Tribolium castaneum: one gene and its partners. The protein of the gene in region 1 binds, or shares a complex with, the protein of each later gene. Links are inferred from orthologs where the notes say so. Each region holds a gene or a part of one and is shown in the gene's direction. Other genes may lie near its edges. The genes, in order: PIG-T, PIG-U and GAA1.

Region 1 (6,316 bases):
ACCGCAGTTTTATTTGCCGGACTGATCCACGTGATCCTAGGCAGTGTATTTAGCAATAATCTCAACAAACTAATCATCGGTAAATGATATAAAAAATCGGTTCATAACACTTTTTGTAGATTTGACCGAAGATTGTGTAAACAATTATTACACAAGCATCCATTTACCTTATGGGACGGGGTCTTCAGACGCCCGCATCGTTTTACTGCGACCTGTCCCATCCTACACCAGAAATTGCACCATTGATATTATCAGACCACAGTTCCAAAAGAGCTGTGGTGATAAATGTATGACCATAGTGGTGGTGGAATTTTTCAATTATAAAACGTACAATACGTGTACCATGAACGGGGGCGTATTTATGGTAAAGTTGGGTGATTTGTTCAAAAGTTAATCACAAAAGTAGGTTTCTGGCAGTCTACAATTCGGAGATGTTTGTGCAGATTTGGATAGTAATCCAAATCAGACTAAAAATGAACTGCAACATCGAATGCATGCTTATGTGGTCCGTGACAGAAACTTTTCAATTAAAATTGACTTTTGGGATTTTTTTGGAACGATTAAAGTAACAGCAACTTCAGGAAAATGTATTTTTGGTGCTTTTATCGAAGAAAAATAAATAAATGTTTCAAGTTTTGGGCACTTCTGGTAACTGTTCGTCAAACGAGATTGTTTGCATATTGAAGGGCCAAGTTTTCTGCATTCATAAACTTCTGGAATGTGACGGCAATTGTAACTGCGGTACGCCGAAATTATACGATGAGTATTGCAGTAGTCAGTCTTAATTTTACCGCAAATAATTTTTATTATCCACGAATTTTGATAGATCTACATGTGCAAGAAAACATACTACTGATGATTATTTACGGAGTTTGTCTGGTGGCAGTCGTTATGTTTTTCCTCATTCAAATATTGCGTGTTTGTGTGCCAAGTGTTGCCGATCATTTCTTCGTTTTCCACGAAACCGATGAATATAAATTTGTCTTAACGTCGCAATCCTTGCCCCCACTGGACCTTTCTAATCAAAATAATTAAACAGTTTTTGAAAAAAATACGTTTTTTATTAATTATTCATCGCCATGATGTGATATAATTAATTTCCATTTGAGCGATGTTGAAGAATTGTTCACATCGTCTGCTTCATCTTTAACTGTCGGTTTAAGATGTAACTCTTGCAGAGTCAAAGTTTGACACGTCGTCACGCCTTCATATTTTTGTTCCCCTTTAGCATTTTGCAACTGCAAGTAAAATCCGCCAGTGATTCAAATCTGCAACGCAGAGTTGAAACTTACTGCATTATCTGCTTTGAGAGTACCTGTAGTAACAGGGGTGCCCTCACAGCTTATTGCATAGTCTACAGCAAAGGGCGAATCTTCCACAGAGTAAAATTCGTCAGAGGAGTGATTGAAAATCAACTCCAACTTTTTTTTGTGAGGAGTTACATTGTCCTCGCTACAACAAGTCACGTAACTGTCTGATTTGTTGTCTTGTTGTTTGTAGCGACTCATTTTAAAACAAATATCAGCAAGACTATCATGCGCTGTGCTTGTAGTTGGGGCACTTCTACTCTTCGTTGGAAAATCTGCTTTCGGTCTTTCCTCACGATCAGTGTCCAGAAGGACAGTTTCGGAACTATCGCTCGAGCAGTCCATCCTTAGGCAATTGAATTTCTGGGGATGTTTCGGAGGCGGGGGAGGTTTTGAAAATTGATGGACATGGTCTTGTTCCCGGTTTAACATTTCTTGTCTTTTTATTTGAAGATATTTGCTCAGTATTGTTTTCACAAGTTGGTCTTTTTGCTCTCTATCTTCAACACTGATGGAAGACTTTTTGTCAGAAAGGGGACTCTTTTCTGGTTCTTTAGAATCACTCTGCAGCTTTTCTAAATATGCCTGAGACAAGAGCATGTTATTGTTGGGTGCTTTATTTTGCGGCTCCGTCTCAGGATTCAACACGAAGAATGAAGAGGTCCGATAAGTAACCGAAACTTCGTGTTGAGCAGTCAACATTTTAGATGTGGATTGAAGCTGCTTTATGGCTTGTTTTGGAGCTTTGGAAGCTTTAGGTCTGTCAGGCAAACTTGCCGAATCATCGGATTCATCGCTGTTTGTTAAACAAATAAAACAATTAAGAAAACTGGGCTTTTTCGGTTTATTCTTCTTTTTCTGCTTCAATTTTTTTCTTGCCATGGCATAATGGAATTTTACATTTGACACTTTAAAACTGCCATTTTGAATGACACAAAAGTCGGATTAATTGGTCACGTGACCAAATTAAACCAATCAGATGTAGTTTGTTCTTATTCAGGGAATCACAGAGTGAATTATAAACTTGCAATAATTAAATGACTTAATTAAATTTTATATTATTACGGACCCAAACTTAATCTAACATAATAGTAGAGGAAAAAAAGTTTCAAAGAGAAATAATTCATTTTGAATCCCCTGTCAGTGTGTGGCCGCCTTTAGCGTCAATTGTCAAAATTAACTCACAAATGGTGAAGATACGTCAGTGTCGGTTAAAAAATAGCCAAAAAGTCGATTGTACATGAATAAAAACGCGATTTCCGCGTAACACTGCGTTCATAATAGCCCTTGGACGGAAATGTAAATAGCGACATGTTCCTTCCCACGCTACTTGTCCTAATATTTTCGCCATTCGGTGTCTTAACCTCAAAACCGGATAAATTCACCGAAGAACTTTTCATCAAGCCTCTGTACAGCGACCAATTGTACGTCCATTTCCACTTTGCTACCAAATGGGATACAAATCCGGAACAGGAAACATGTAAGCTATCAAAATCGTGTGAAATAATCCCTGATTGTGGTGATTACAGTCAGACACACTCATATTTTCCCCCGCGCCCTCGGCGAAATAGTCGAAAGATACAACGTACAGGAGCTCCACGTGTCGTTGACTGGCGGCTTGTGGCGCTATGAGACTTGGGGTTACCCGATTTTGGACGCTGCTCCTGGGGCTGAAGTGTGGGCTTGGTTTAAGGACACCACGGAAGATGTGGACCAGAACTGGAAGTTGCTGGCGAGCTCATTGTCTGGTTTGTTGTGCGCCAGCTTGAATTTTATAGACAAGGCCAACAGTATTAGACCCGAATACACTTTCAAGCCGAAAGGGGTGTTTTCAGGCAGTAATTTAAATTCATCATTTGTTAGGTAACTCCACACCCCTCGGAAACAATTATTTTAACTTTATTACAGATACTCGAGTCTCCCGCGCGAAATCGTCTGCACGGAAAATCTGACTCCTTGGAAGAAGCTGTTACCGTGCGAATCGAAAAGCGGCTTAGCTTCGCTCCTAAACTCAGGTTATATTCACAACACGCGCTATCACTCAGTGGCTATACATATGCGTCCGGTTTGTCGCGACAGTTCGTGCGAGTTCGTGTCGTTAGAACTGCAACAAACTGTGTCTCTTGTTTACGATTATTTAATTCTGGGAACGAAAAACTGGTCGTTTCGCAAATTATTCGGTCAGGGGTTGATGGGGCGGTGCCCATTGGCCGAAACCAGCACAATTTACATCGATACCACCAGTAATACCAGTGTTCCATTTCAATTAACCCCAAGTCCGGACGATTACGTGACGTCGATTCGTGGCGGTCATGTTAACACTTTCGCTAAATACGTAGTTAGACCGTATGCCATGAGCTTGAATGCGAATTTTTTGGGCAAGGAGAGTGTTTTATTGAACGCGCCCCCGTCTCTCCACGCCAATCAGTACATCACGGGCTATGGCCAGGAGAGAGGAGGGATTGTGACCAAAATTTACAACAACCATTGGAGTCATTTGGACGTGGTGGTGTTGCAAAATATACCATGGTACGTCCCTATTTACCTCCACACGCTCAAAATTGAGGTGAACGGCTTGGAGGCCGAGCCGTTGAAAATTCGTTACATTCCGGGCCGCCAAAGGGAGCGACCTTACCACCTTGAACTCCTGTTGAAATTGCCGGCACGTTCCGTTACGTCCGTGTCCGTCGATTTTGATTACGTGTTTCTAAAATGGCAAGAGTACCCACCTGATGCCAATCACGGTTTTTACATTGGCTCTGCAATAATTTCGGCTAATTTACCGCTTGCGCGGAATTTTACCGGTTTGCCGCAAGACGGCTCAACGATCGCTGATAGTTTCAATGCCTCGAGAAGTGGTTACTTGGTGCAAGTTCGCACCGAAAATATGGTAATTACGTTACCGACGCCCGATTTTAGTATGCCTTATAACGTAATCTGCTTAGCGTGCACCGTAGTTGCTTTAGCTTTCGGTCCGTTGCATAACATCACGACCAAAAGACTTGTCTTGACGGTCAAAGACAACGAGAAACTTATCGTCAAAATCAAGAATAAGATCGTCAAGGTTTTGACCGATAGGCGAGGAGGTGAAGAGAAACAAAGTGTTCAGTAATTGTGAATTTTATTAGTGTAATCTTTTTTTCACATCCAAAGACTAGTTTTTATAAAAATAAACAAAACAAGAGTGGAGTTGTGTTTATCACTTGACCCTTAATTCAGTCAACTAAGGGGTTACTGAGACCGGTGACTAGTAGTGTTAGTAAAATGTTATGACGCACTTTTCACCACTTGCGTGGTAAAGTTGGTAACACATAACTATAATTGTACCAAGAACAATTCTATTTTTCTACCAAACTGAGGAACGTATTAGCGAATTATTTTGTTAAAGGTTTCGTCAATAAGTACCGCCGGCACCAATCACAATTGCACAATGGCAAACATAACAACTAGGAAACCCAACCAACTCGAACGCAGAGCAGCCGAGCTGCCTTTGCCTTCCTGACTGTCCTCCCCGACTTGTGGGTTCGCCTTTGAGGTGCAAATATCACCACAGTCCTCATCCTCGCATATATCACACAGAGTTGACGTTCGGCTTCGGTAAAATTGCCTGGCACGTCTCGCTAACAACACAAAATGAGCCCAAAAATTTAAAACCAAACTTAAACTTACAACTGTCGTAATAATCGAAAATAATAACCGAGACGGGTTTTTGGTTTGCGACTTTATGTGTCCTAAAAGCGGACACTGTCGGGCAGTATTCGTTTACACTTGACACGTTGTTAAAGTAGAGGGTGACTCTAGTCAGGCCGTTGCTCGTTTCGACCTTTTGCACATTTTGGGACACTTCCAGGCTTGGCAAGGAGTCGATATCGGCGGTGAAACCCGACGGGAGGTTCACTTCCATCACTGCCATGTTGCTTTCAGGGGTTTCACTCAAATTGCGACTCACAAATCTGCGATTTTTCAATTAATCCCAGTTTTTTGACTTCTTTGATACTCACCCTGTGCAAATCGACACTTGTAAGTGGTCCTTATTCGAGTTTTTGTCCACTTGTGGGTCCAGCGTAAACATGGGCCAAGGCCCGGTTACGTTCATATTATACTCATACGAGACCCTAAAAACGGCCAAGCCTTTGCCCTGAGCCGTCACGTTTACTTCACGTATGTCTTTCGGTAGTTGGAGTTTTTGCACAATCATTGCGTTGTTTTTATTAACGTTGAAATTGTGGCGCTGGTCTTTGCCGTAAGTGAACTCAACTTGCATATTTACGTTAGTTGCCAACTTCAGGACTAGTTTATAAATGGCCCAAAGGCCCACGAAAGTGTCCTGCGATGAGGTGAAACCTCCGAGACTGTTCTGCTGGTCTAGTAGCCAGTTCAGGACAGGGATTGCGTCTTCGAAGTAATTGGCCTCAAGGAAGGTTAAAAGACCGTAGGCTGAAGTCTCGATATCGATGGAACGCGGTAATTTGTTCCAGGGATTTTTAATCTCGTTACTTGGGACGTCCTTAGACCACCATTTCAAGTTGCCTCGGCTCTTTGAACGGAGGTCAAGCAAGTTGAAAGCGCTTTGTTTCGACGGGTGACGGGCTAATTGAAGAGTGTAGCTACACAAAGCTATCGTATGGATTGATTCTTGTTCAGAAATGTACCGTGCAATGTAATCCAATCCTTTGTTAATTGTATTGCTATAAGTGGACGCATATTTCTGGAAAAAAAAATGAAATTACCAAACATAAAATGGGAAAAATACCTGATTTTCGATAAAAGCCAAGAGAGTAAAAGCCGTCAAGGCTAAACTATTGCCTTCCCGACTCTGAATCTCCTTGTAAATAACTGACCCCACTTCGACAAAACTTCCATTCCGGCCCTGAATATTCGCCAACCATTCGAGACAACCTTCGATAATTTTCTCGTCAACGTAAATATGGCCTTTGGCTTGCCTTAAAGTAAGAGCCACATAAGCCGTAACCCTGCAAAAATTATTGAAAAAAGTTCAAAACTCGCCC
Region 2 (5,853 bases), on another chromosome or scaffold:
GCTTGCAAAACAAGCCGAAAACAAGCAATGTTAATTTGTAAGTTTAGCTTTCTTTTTAAAAATTTTGGTGAATTTGCTGAAAAATCAGCGGAATGGATCGAAATTAATTAAGTTAGTTAATTAAGTCCTATTAAATACAATCATCTGAACATCGCCCTAATTGTTGGTAATTGGCACAATAAAAGGCAATTACTATTATTATTTAAAAAACCCGTAATATTCTCTCTAAAACTTAAATTTTTTACATTTATCTTTCTACTTGCTTTAAAACTATTCCACATTTCACTGATCTTGTGATCAGAATCGAAAAAAAAATTAAAAACTAAAAAACATTCTACGATGCTCGAACAAGTCAAAAAAAAATTAATTAATTTTCTATTTTCAAAATATTTGGGCAAAATTTCTAAAGAAAACTGAGTTATAATTTAATAAAATGTGAAAAAAATGTTTCTTACTTATAAAACGACGAGCTAAATACGTTATTTTCGTCCTTGAAAACTTTAAATTGGATCTAAAACCAATTATAGTATTTTTAACTTAGTTTTTTTTATCTATCTCTTGGCAAATCGAGGTCGTATTTGAGCAAATAATCCGAAACAACTTGGTTAAAATACACGACCAACAAATCTCTGAACTGGTTTGTTGCACTTTCTCTAGTTAAATTATCCATTTATAAACAACACTTTTTGGCAATAAAGTCAAAATAATACAAATAATTCGAATAAAACAACTTGGTCAAAATTTCTATCTACTTATTATTATCAACAAATAAAAAAAGATCATCAAAACCACAACACTCGGAAATTGATTAGGTCAATTTAAATTGATTAAAAATTAATTTGGCCTATATGACGTAAATGTGTTTGAGGATTCTCAATTTTTAATGCAGTTCTCATTTTTGTCATAATTCGTAGTCTAGAACGATATTATTATACGACATACTGTCGATTCCGATTTTTCACGTTAAAAATAATTTTTTAAAATAGAAATTGATCTAAAACTACTTGTTGCACTTTCAACTAAGTAATTAATTATTATCTATTTCTAAGTAAAATTTATTGTCTATTAAATCAAACTTGTGCAAACAATCCGAATAAAACAGTTTGGTCAAAATTTTTGTTTATTTTACTCACCTATTTATTAATAAAAAATAACAATATTATAATAACCAAAAATTTAATTAAAATATGCTTATTTGGCGTAGAATTCTTTAAAGATCCCAAATCTCTTCTTATTTTTGTTGTAAGGAACGTGGTTTTAGGATACGATTAGATGAAATACTACCAATTTAAATTTTTCCATTCTACTAAAAAAAAATAGAAATTAATCTAAAACAACTTGTAACACATTTTACTAGAAAACTATTTAATTTTAGGTAAAAATTTGTGGCAATTAAGCGAAGTGGTACAAATAATTCGAATAAAACAAAAATTTGCCTCTACAGCGTGCTCAAAAACTGGCGCACCAACTCAATGGTGTGTGATAGAGAACTGGTTACATATAAAGGTAAAAATAGTAAAAAAATTCTTTGTATTAAAGTTATTGATAAATAACGGATTTTAGATAAATGATATGTGGCAACGTTGTCTAACAGTCATAATCGCAATAGAATTTGAGCAACAATAAAAATAAATTATTTTTGAAACGGTTTCCTAGGAAATAATTCCCAGTGTTGGCACATCTACACATTGTGATTTTTTGGATAAATTTTAATTTTTTTAAATTAAAAAAACTGCTAAAATCTAATAGTAAATTTAAAAATAATTATTCATCGTTTTGTTACGGAACGATTACCTGGTATGAAACATAAAACATAAAAAAATAATGAAAACTAAAGAAGTTAACACAATAAGTTTGTAGCTCCAGATTTTTTAAAATATAACTTTAGGAATTTTTTCAATATTTTTCCCGTAATCTGCACTTGCTTATCAATAACGTACCACTGAGTTGGTGCGCCAGTTTTTGAGCACCTGTATACTAATTTATCTACTAATCAAAAAATTAATCACGATCACAAAAACCAAAAATTGATGTCAAAAGTAAACCTGTTTGGCATAAAATTGTCTGAGCATTCAAAATCCGTCTTCGCTGTTTAATGATTCCTAGTTTTTCAAATTTTCCAATCCTACCAAAAAAAAGCAGTCAACCTTAAACGACTAGTAGCACTTTTTCCTGCTTAATTAATTATTTTTGAGCAAAATTTCGTGCAAATCGAGTCAAAATTTTGCAAACAATCTGAATTTTGAACGGCCAGAAGAAAAGCATTGAAACTTGGAGACAAGTCGCGCGTATTCATGATTGACTAATTTATAGGCGGACAAAACCACGTTTTTTGTACAGTAACCATTAATTTATCAAACATTGTTTTGTTTTATTCAAACTGTAATAAAAATGTGCCAATGTAATTCCATTTACTTTTAGCACAAATTAGTTCATGTTTGTATTGCTCGTTGCTTTAGCCACAATGTCACTCCTGTTCCTGTCACGATACTAACCTCACTTTATTCAATTATTTAGTGGGCCGGTAATCGCCAATATTTCCGAAAACTGCCCCTGAAAAGTGTAAAATAATGGCACATGGGAAAACCGAAAAATGTGAGCAAGACTGCTACAAAGGCGGAACCGTTTTATTCATGTACTTGACGGGGCTTGGTATCCGGTATTGGCTCATGTTTTCGAGATATCAGTCCATAATTGCGAACCACATCGAAATATCTACACCTCTGAACTCCTGGAAGCGAGTGTCCGAAGGGCTTTGTCTCCAGTCCAAAGGTATCAATCCATACGAAGGGGACTTACTTCATGAAGCTCCGATAACAATATTATTTTATAAAGTGTTGACACAGTGGTGGAAGTTGGACATTAAGACTATTTTTCTCGCCTTTGATGCGGGAACGGCCGTGGTATTGTATTTCGTCGCGAAGAAATACATGTTTCACTTATTTATTGAACAAGAAGAGAATAAAAAACAATATGCTCTGAACAGTAAGGAGTTCCTGTTATCGGGCTCTGATTTCGTCAATTCGCCCGTTTTTGTCGCATCGGCGTTTCTGTTTAATCCATACACGATTTTTAACTGCGTTGGACAGTCAACTGTCGTGTTCCATAATTTTTTCATCGCTTTGTTTTTGTTCTGTATGTTAAGCGGTAGCGTTATTTTGAGTGTACTGTCTCTGGCAATATGCACAATGATGTCTTTCTACCCCATTGTGTTAATTATCCCACTGTTTTTGTACTCTAACGGAATTTACAAAAGCAAATTTCGGGCGATTCTCACCCCGATTTTGTTTATCGCCACACTTGCGGCTTTTATAACCATTTCGATTGGTTTAAGCAACGGAACCGCATTTATGAAAAACGTGTACGGTTTCATTCTAACAGTTCCAGACTTGCAGCCAAATATTGGCTTGTTTTGGTATTTTTTCACCGAAATGTTCGACCACTTTCGCGACTTGTTCATCAGCTCGTTTCAAATAAACGCAACCGTTTTGTATTTAATTCCACTGTCGGTCAAATTTCGCAAAGACCCGTTTTTGCTAACGTTCGCGATTTTGTGTCTGATTTCTGTTTTTAAGTCGTATCCGTGTCTGGGCGATGTTGGGTTCGTGTTGAGTCTTTTGCCCTGTTTCATACACTTGTTCAATTACTCCCAGCAGGGATTTTTAGTTGGGGTGATTTTTCTTATTACGACAGCTTTGGGTCCGATTTTGTGGCATTTGTGGATTTATTCAAACTCCGCAAATGCGAACTTTTATTTCGGAGTCACTTTGGCCTTTGCCATTGCACAGATTTTTCTTGTGACTGATATTTTGTTCGCGTATTTGAAGCGCGAGTTTTGTTTGAATCATGGCAAGGAGAGGAAGATTGATGGAAAGGACGCCTTGCTGATTTTAGAGTGATTTGTGATCTAGATGTTAACCACAATAAATAAGACTTTTGTACAAATATTGTTTTATTTATTTATTATATAATTATAGACTTGTTTGATGATTCGACTAACATTTTGAACTGGTTTTCTAATCCACTTTCCCTTATTAGTGGATTAAACTTGATCATAATTTTGACCATCTGAAATTAAAGTAGTTATAAATATTGTAATAAAAAGTACAATTCATTACATTTTTAATAATATTAATGTATTTCCTGTCAAAATTTAAAAGCACCAGTAAAAGGTAGGTCATCTTTGACCATTCTTGGGTTAAAACACATTTTCTTACAAGTCTTAAGATCTGTGTTGGTGAGTCCCAGAAGAGGTCAAATGCTGAACTTTGACGTTCTATACAATCTTGAGCCTCTTTTCTCGTAATAAGTGTGTTATTTTCTAAACAATGAATAAGCAAAAGAAGTTCTTTTACACACACTTCCGGACATTTTGTGTCACTGTTTCCTTCTCTCCACTTTTTGGCCTTTTTTTTACTGATTTTTCCTTCTTTGCTCACGTTTCTTGTTTGTTTACTCGCAAATCGTTTATTCTTTTTCGTGACCACTTCTAAATTTCTTTTCTGGAGTTTTTCAAATATTTCCACATTTTCTCCGTATTCTTCCTGGTCGACTGATTCTTTCCAAATCTTTTTTCTTTCCTCATCAAGGAGAATTTTTTTTAAATCAAATTTCGTCATTTTTTATTTTAAATACATAACCTCAAAACACACACATTTTTGAGCAGCAACCAACTTAAAAAGTAAAATTTACCAGATCCAAGCTTACGAAATTTGCATATTATACCTGGGGTGATAATTAAAGACTGAGTTGTCAAATTATATTCACAAATTTGATAGTCAAAATTTTATACTCAATTGTCATTTGAATTTATAACTAGAGTAGACTTTGTTAGTTTTTTAACATATTTATTAATTAATCAAGCTGAAGAATCAAATAATAAAGTTTCGAACAGTAATATTTAATTAGTTTTCCCTCAATTTGTACTAGTTTACCAATCACTGAACTCACTCCGAAAGAAAAAACGCCTACTCAATTGAGACCATTCGGGCCTTTACACCTTATGCAACCAACATTTCAGCACAATTTTTTTTCTCTTTTTTTTTTTCTTTTCCATTTAACGAGCCAAGCATTCAATATTTAAATTATTTTCTTCATCAAAAATCTCACAACGTTTTAAAATACAAGTTGAGAAGCTTCTTTGCGTCACATTTCGACCCTCGAAGAGACGATTTTACCCAACCACCGGATGTGAAACAAAAGAGCAGGTAGCAAGGGCCTGAAAAACACCACATTCCTCAAATTCCAAGGGGAGAAAGCTGATTCCAGATGGCGGACTTTTCTATTGTTTTACCCTTATTAAATCGTTAATTCTCTGTATTACCAACCAGGGAAAAACCTAATCTAAATCAAATTCACAAGAGGAAGCCCTAAGCTCGAAATCGCCGATCTTTGATACCGCTTGAGGTACATTTCGATTCATCCCCATTTTATATCAAACAAAATCGTCACGGATTGAATCAAACCTGCAAACTTCATTCAACATACAACTCCAAACCTCATTCAGCTTAAGACACGAGAAAATTATCAAGAATCAAGCAGAATAAACCCGAAGAAAGCTCTTTTATTCCACGTGGAAACGCTTTTATTAATTAATTGGCGATTGAGGAACAAATACTTCGATTCTATCACATCTCGACATCATCCAGAGACGTTTGCAAACTTCCTGTCAATCCTTCGAAGATATTAACGCATTGTTTATCAACTTTAAACAATATTTCTTGTTAGTCACGTAGGCCACAGAACCAGTGACGTCACGCAACCCCTATAAATAGTTGCCGCTTGGAAGAGGAAAATCAGACAGTGTTTGTACGTCTTTTCGGAGACAACGCTTGCACTCGTCTCACTGCTGTA
Region 3 (6,492 bases), on another chromosome or scaffold:
TTGACGGTTTAACGTAATATTTCACCCTGGGAATAATAGGGATAACAGTTTAAAGTTAGTAAAGACTATCGTTATTTAATAGTTGGCTGATTCTAGGAAAATTGATTAGGTTTTTATCAATGTTATCAGCATTCTATTATTCAGCGTGATTAGAATTTTCGAAATTTAGCTGGTGACGTAGTGTGTGAGCAAGGTTTGTTTTTTCGTAGATGATGTTGCCCATACTGGTATCGCCATGGGAACACCAGGCGATAAGGCGAAAATCGGAAAGGTAGTACAAGGAAGCCAGCTGGATCCCGATCAAGAAAGCGTCTCTCCCACAACAACAGCAGCCACTGCTTCAACATCGACACCAACAGCCGAAAGTCCAGTAATTCCTCCACTGCCACAGCCGAGCACTTCAGCCACAATGGGGATGATCAGTAGATTACCGCAATTTGAGACGTTCGCTGCCATCAACATCCACCCGTCACTGTCTCAAACCGCAGGAAAACCGGAGACCTTCCAGTCGACGACCATGGGGGCGCTAGGCCAAGCCCACATGGAAGACTACTACACCCAGACAAAGCACTACCCGAGCGTTTCAGAGAACTTGCAAACGATATATCATCCGGTAATGACACCGAAACCGAAAACATTCCTCAGCTTAGACGAACCGGGACCTTCAGGGCTGCAAACGCAAAAAACGAAGACGAAACTGAGCGTGAAAAGAACAAAGAAGTCGTCGCAGATCCAGAAAAAGGGCCACTCGTGTCCCGTTTGTCAGAAGAATTTCGCCACCATTGATAAGTTAACAAAGCACCAACAGATCCATTCGGGCACGTCGCCGTTCAAATGCGAGCACTGCAAGAAGTCGTTTAGTTCAAAATTTAAGTTAGTTAGACACGTCTTGATCCACTCAGACCGGAAACCGTTCAGTTGTACAGTTTGTGAACGGACTTTTCACAGGAAAGACCACCTTAAGAACCACATCAAGGTCCACAGTCCCAGTAAAAAGGTGTACGTTTGTGAAAAAGCCGATTGCAAAAAGGAGTACACGTCGCTGATGAGCTACCGAAAACACCTCGCGCTCCACGCGGCCGAAGAGGGCAGCTTACAGTGCCAGATATGTTCGAGTGTGTTTTCAACGAAAGAGGAGATCCTCTACCATTTGAAGATTCACGCCGGGAGCCGAACCGTCAAGAATCCGAACGAAAAGAAGTTCACTTGCGAGCACTGCGACCGAAAGTTCTTCACGAAAAAGGACGTCAGACGACACCTAGTTGTACACACAGGCATGCGCGATTTTTTATGCCAGTTCTGTCCGCAGAGGTTCGGCCGGAAGGACCATCTAGTTAGACACATTAAAAAGTCACATTCGAAAAACGTACCGCCGGAAGACTTCGAAACTGCCATTAAAAGTGAGATTCCAGAAACGATCGTCAAGCCAGAATTAGTGATTAAAACCGACCCGGAGATCAAATCCGAATTTTTCGAAAGCAGTCTTTCAAATCCCGAACAAATTGATCTATCGTTTGAAGATGTGAGTAGCATATTGCAAGAGGAGACTTTCGATCCGTTGACGCGGTTTTTGGAGCCGGACACGGAGGGGAATTTAACGTTTCTGCCCTCGCCGGAGTCACAGGAAGAACTAAAAGACTTGGGAAGCACGATTTTGGAGGAAATTGGGGAACCTTCGATGATAGGAGAGAGTTTAACTGACCCTGACGAGGAAATACTAGGTCAAAGTGTTTTAAATAATCCTGAATTACAAAGACTGCTAGAACCGTCGGAAGATAAAAATTTACCTCTGCCCGGGTTTAGTCAAACTTTTCAACCTCCTCCTCCACCTCCTCCGTAATATCTTTCTACAAGATATGCATACCATAATTGTGTTCGTAAAATAGGTGGCACACAGCTAAATTATCATTGTATGGTATGTTAAGTTACCAACTGAAATTATAACCTTTTTCGATTGGCAATATTTTCACCAATTCCAAAAAAGTTACCAGGATACGTAACCAGATTCAAACATGTATTGTTCTAGTCTTGCTAAAATTGTTCTCGTCTTCTTTATTCATTTAGGCAGCTCATTAACGTGTGAATATTGCCAAAAATTAATAACGTTATTGAGATTTTACAAAAATATTGTTTATGTTGCTAAATTATTTTACGTTTGTTTCGACAATTGCACAGCTGTTTGACTTTTACTCAAAATTATGTTACAATAGAGTTTCACATAATCGGTTGAGAAGAAAAGGAGTACTTACGTGGAACGGGATAATTGAATTGTATGCTACGTGCAATTGTTATAACGATATTAGGCATAATTTGATCTGAGAAACACTTAATATGTTGTGTTGTAAATTTATATTTATTTGTTAAATTGTTTCCAAAGTTATTTACCACTGGTGCTAAAATCCATCTGAAAACAATTGACAATTATTGTATATTATTGTTATGCTATGAGAATTATTAGATATTTTCTATTGTTAAATTTTACCAATCAAGCATATCTGTAAAAAGTACTTTCACCACTTAACACGATCAAGTACAAAATTGGAAATTTCATTGACTCGTGGCTAAATTAAATTTAATTTATTATGAAACAGGTGTGATATCCAACGTAGCCAAAAGTCAATGACACACTAATTCTTTCAGTTTACATTTTCCGATACTAATGAAATAATCTACCTCATTTTGCAACAATTCATTGCTGTACAATCAGCTAGTCATAGTTGTAAGTCTATCTGTATGATGTTAAAACATAGTTTTTTATACATACTGTATATTATAAAAAGTAATATATTTTACCAATGTATATAATTATTCATATGAGTCTATTTTAAAATATGTACATTTTATTTTTATACATGAAATTATAGTATTATTTATATATTCACATCCGAGTTTATTTTAAAATTACCCCTTTATCTTGGCCACTTCGTTTGTGGCTTCAAAGGCGGGCAGTTTTAAACCGCTGGTGTTTTTTTAGACAGTTGCGTTGGTAGCAACCAAACGTCAAGTTATCTACTCTAAGGTTATGTTAATGTAAACAAAAATTATCTAAACGGCTCCTGTAATGTAATTAGTGGCTAATTTTGACTGTGAAGTTTCAATTCCAGCTCTTTTTTGGATAAAGTTTAAGTCACGATGGGTTTGCTAACAGATCCCAGTGCCGGTCAGGGAAAACTAACCAAAGCCCTTCTTAAATATTACACAAAACTATGTGTCTTGCTATACATAGGCGGAATCGGTTGGTTCTGTTCCCTTGCGTACACCCCCATGAACGCAGGGACGTATTTTTCCGAAAACGCCCTTTTGCCAGGACTCGTCAAATCAGAGTTTCGGGAAGACGCAATCGCAAAAACTTACCACAGCGAGCTTTTGGACGAAATGAAGAAATACGAAGACTCCATTCCGTATCCCTGGCTTTTAGCCAAAATGAAGCAAATTGGATTAGATACCTACACTCACAACTTTACACTGAATTATCCGCTGGGAAAACCCCAAGTAATTACTTCTAACAAAACTTGGCGGTTGAATATTTAATGTTTTTTTAGAAATTTGTTGGTAAAAACGTTTATGGTATTTTACGAGCGGCACGGGCTTCCAGCACTGAAGCTTTAGTCTTAAGTGTGCCATATAGACCCCCTTTGAGCGTCCACGCCACCACCGCACCTTCCATTGCCATAATGTTGGCATTTGCCAAGTTTGCCAATAGTATGTCGATTTATTGTTCAGGGTGCGGGGAAAAACGCAAAAGTTATGAGGGGGTGGTTTTTTAAATTAATATCGGAAAAATCTCTAATGGGTACCCATGTTTTAAATTTTTATAAAATTATTAAAATTAAATCAACGAGCATTGCAATGATGACTATTAAGACACGAGTTAGATTTAGATTAATTTTACTCTGTCGTACTATTTTTTATTTATTTTTTTTTGGTTTAGAAAATCTACATGTAGTACATGTAGTATCATGAATAAATTAATGTGTGGGAGTCCTTAGTCTAGGAATTCCTACGGCATCGCTCCTTCAAATTTTTGGCGTTTTTTTCTAGACACTTGTGTACTTGTGTATGCATTTGTCCTTCAGGATATTCTTCTAGGAGAGAAATATTGGGCCAAGGATATTATATTTTTAATTACTGAACACGAGCAGTTAGGAATGCAAGCTTGGCTGGAAGCCTACCATGGAGTAGCCTGTGGCAATGACGGTACTTTAGACCATGGTGACATTAAGGGACGTGCAGGTGCCATACAAGCCGCTATTAATTTAGAATTGCACGAAACGGCAATTAGCCAAGTGGATATCAAAATTGAAGGTTTAAATGGTCAACTGCCCAACTTGGATTTGTTTAACTTAGCCGCTAAAATGCTGCTCAAAGAGGGAGTACCGCATACTTTTAAAAACAGGCCCAACAAACACTTGAAAGATCCCGTAAACGACTGGTTTTACTCATTCCAGACTTTATTAGCCATGATTTCAACTCAGGCTACCGGGGTACACATCACTTATTGTGTGAGAAAATTTTAAGTAAAAAATTTTAGATACCAAATGGAAATCATGGCCTTTATCACCGTTTTGGCATAGAAGCCCTGACTCTTGAAAGCACCCCCTTAAAAGGGGGCAATAAAGCCGGATTCCCAATTGTGGGCCGCATTATTGAAGGGATATTCCGTAGCTTGAATAACCTTTTAGAGCGTTTCCATCAAAGCTTTTTCTTCTACTTGTTACCTTCATCAGAGAGATTTATTTCAATTGGTAAATAACTTTTTTTGCACAATTTTTTTTATACAAAGTGGTCAAAAGTAATTGTTTGTGTTGGCAGTAGTTATTTTTAGTTGGCCCTAGTGTAAACGTGATATCACATTGAATTTTGATCACTTTGTACAAAAATAAGGGGTCTAATAAACATCTGAACTTAGGGCTATACATGCCTGCTATCTGTTTGATTGCGGGGGCTCTCTTCATCAAAGCATGCGCCAATTGGTGCCAACTTCAGGAGAACCAAGCGGAGACGGAAGACGAGAAGACAAAAACCCCCGAGACGAAAAAACAAGTCAAGAGCAGCGTGAAACCGCGCGATTCGAAAAATTATTGGAAAGAAATGGAAACGCGATTCCAGACCGAAATTCAAACTCACAACCCTCCAGATCCCGATTCCGTTAACTTTATTTCAATCCTTTGCGTATTTCTAATGTCTCATGTTCTGGGGGTATTGATTATGAACAGCCCTCAGCTATTAACGACGCTAGGTGGCCAATATAATTACTCAACCGATGCGTCTTTGTTTTACGGGTTTATAGCCATATCTGTGGTGTTGCTAACAATGCCGCTTTTTATCCCCTTCAAAGCTTGCGAGAAGAGTATGTCGGTGTTAAATATTTTATCGCTTTTGGAATTAGGCACAACTTTAATTTGCGTTTCCATGAATAATTTTTCTCTGGCATTATTTTGCGCCATTATTTATGTACCGTTGGCTCTAATTATCGGGATTACGCGGTGTAGGCTATGCTCTGCCATCAAAAAAATTGTGTGGTTGCTGGCACATCCTCTAGTCGTGCTTACCGCTACCGTGTTAGTATACACATTTTTCATGTTCCCCGGTGAAAAATTCGAAGATAATTTTCATAGGGGCGTAGCGGCGACTCAACAGGCAATCGTTTTCAGTATAGTGGATTCTATGATTTATGGAAATTGGCTCTTTAGCGTCGTTACTAGTGTTTTTATTTCCAACTGGTTGTGTTTCTGGATCGTTGCGTTTGCGAAAGTGCCGCAGGACATTCCAAAGAAGAAAATCGATTAAATGTACTTTTTTTTAATAAAGTGTTGGATTTTTAATCACTTGTTTGAGATTATACACTCCATTAAACCTTTCAACCGTTTTATTAAGTTCTGGGTGGAAAATTGGGAAGCAAACTTTATAAAAGGTTGAACCTTGACACATTTCACTTGCAGCAAATGAGGGAATTCGGCTGTTTAAGATTAATTTTTCCGCTTTCACCGGCAGGAGTGGGGAGCTGTTTTCAACTATGCCAAATCGATTTTTTTTGTTAGAAAGAATGAGATTTGTTTGTTTAGAAAAACGAAAAACAATTTGCCGCTAATTAGTACCGGTATTGGTCGAAATATTTATTTTCTGAAAAATTTACCGCATATAAACACTAATAATTCTGAACATAATGTTTATTCAAACAGGTTTGTTTTAATTAAGGGATTAATTCGCAATGCAAATGATAATTAAAATACTTATCCAATATGTTATAAAAATGTTCTTGAAAATCACATTCACGCACTACTTTGGCGATAACCAGAAAAACAATAAATATATTCATTTCAAAAATGCAAAACCTGCAATTGTTCTTTACAAATAAAAGTATTTTTTGTTTATAACACATTAATTTTCACTTCAACCGTTAAATACATATTCTCATTATATTTTTAAAGCTTTTTTATTGAAAACTTTATAAATTAGTGTAATTTCTAAAAATGAGGTTTTGCACAAAAA

Evidence for each region.
Region 2: the proteins of PIG-T (region 1) and PIG-U are in contact, whole or in part, in a cryo-EM structure (PDB 8IMX), measured with the Homo sapiens proteins. The link is inferred for Tribolium castaneum from reciprocal best matches to the Homo sapiens genes PIGT and PIGU. Residues at the interface, in NP_057021.2 of Homo sapiens: Tyr361, Gly362, Leu363, Gln364, Lys365, Arg394, Leu395, Tyr396, Val397, His398, Tyr416, Pro418, Ala419, Gln420, Asp421, Arg422, Gln445, Glu447, Leu450, Leu451, Lys452, Trp453, Thr454, Pro518, Thr519, Pro520, Asp521, Phe522, Ser523, Met524; in NP_536724.1 of Homo sapiens: Glu30, Lys42, Arg43, Val45, Glu46, Ser49, Leu50, Leu53, Val55, Ser59, Gly60, Ala61, Val62, Pro265, Asp266, Leu267, Pro269, Leu273, Trp275, Tyr276, Phe277, Phe278, Ala279, Glu280, Met281, Phe282, Glu283, Phe289, Phe293, Asn296.
Region 3: the proteins of PIG-T (region 1) and GAA1 are in contact, whole or in part, in a cryo-EM structure (PDB 7W72), measured with the Homo sapiens proteins. The link is inferred for Tribolium castaneum from reciprocal best matches to the Homo sapiens genes PIGT and GPAA1. Residues at the interface, in NP_057021.2 of Homo sapiens: Gln91, Gly92, Phe93, Arg95, Arg97, Tyr98, Ser108, Phe211, His212, Thr213, Ser214, Asp247, Phe249, Ile250, Arg340, Gln355, Tyr357, Val358, Ser359, Gly360, Tyr361, Gly362, Leu363, Leu371, Tyr373, Lys441, Asp459, Pro460, Asn461, His462; in NP_003792.1 of Homo sapiens: Arg97, Ser98, Val99, Gly100, Glu102, Tyr104, Arg134, Ala135, Pro136, Arg137, Ala138, Ala139, Ser140, Thr141, Glu142, Arg171, Gly172, Gln173, Ile174, Tyr199, His200, Asp201, Val202, Leu212, Gln213, Gly214, Arg215, Ala218, Arg311, Tyr312.

The regions. Positions count from the first base shown.
Region 1 is NC_087398.1:2,634,047-2,640,362, forward strand, and holds PIG-T (GPI transamidase component PIG-T), read left to right. Parts: upstream 1-2,476; 5' UTR 2,477-2,618; coding exon 2,619-2,787; intron 2,788-2,836; coding exon 2,837-3,170; intron 3,171-3,215; coding exon 3,216-4,419; 3' UTR 4,420-4,496; downstream 4,497-6,316. Other genes in the region: CD109 antigen, read right to left, coding at 4,725-4,927, 4,977-5,260, 5,309-6,015, 6,061-6,280. UniProt on the Homo sapiens protein: Component of the glycosylphosphatidylinositol-anchor (GPI-anchor) transamidase (GPI-T) complex that catalyzes the formation of the linkage between a proprotein and a GPI-anchor and participates in GPI anchored protein biosynthesis.
Region 2 is NC_087396.1:9,927,931-9,933,783, forward strand, and holds PIG-U (phosphatidylinositol glycan anchor biosynthesis class U protein), read left to right. Parts: upstream 1-2,398; 5' UTR 2,399-2,570; coding exon 2,571-3,899; 3' UTR 3,900-3,945; downstream 3,946-5,853. UniProt on the Homo sapiens protein: Component of the glycosylphosphatidylinositol-anchor (GPI-anchor) transamidase (GPI-T) complex that catalyzes the formation of the linkage between a proprotein and a GPI-anchor and participates in GPI anchored protein biosynthesis.
Region 3 is NC_087396.1:13,608,292-13,614,783, reverse strand, and holds GAA1 (glycosylphosphatidylinositol anchor attachment 1 protein), read left to right. Parts: upstream 1-2,976; 5' UTR 2,977-3,132; coding exon 3,133-3,492; intron 3,493-3,542; coding exon 3,543-3,702; intron 3,703-4,089; coding exon 4,090-4,484; intron 4,485-4,531; coding exon 4,532-4,745; intron 4,746-4,909; coding exon 4,910-5,790; 3' UTR 5,791-5,825; downstream 5,826-6,492. Other genes in the region: zinc finger protein PLAG1, read left to right, coding at 236-1,840. UniProt on the Homo sapiens protein: Component of the glycosylphosphatidylinositol-anchor (GPI-anchor) transamidase (GPI-T) complex that catalyzes the formation of the linkage between a proprotein and a GPI-anchor and participates in GPI anchored protein biosynthesis. Binds GPI-anchor.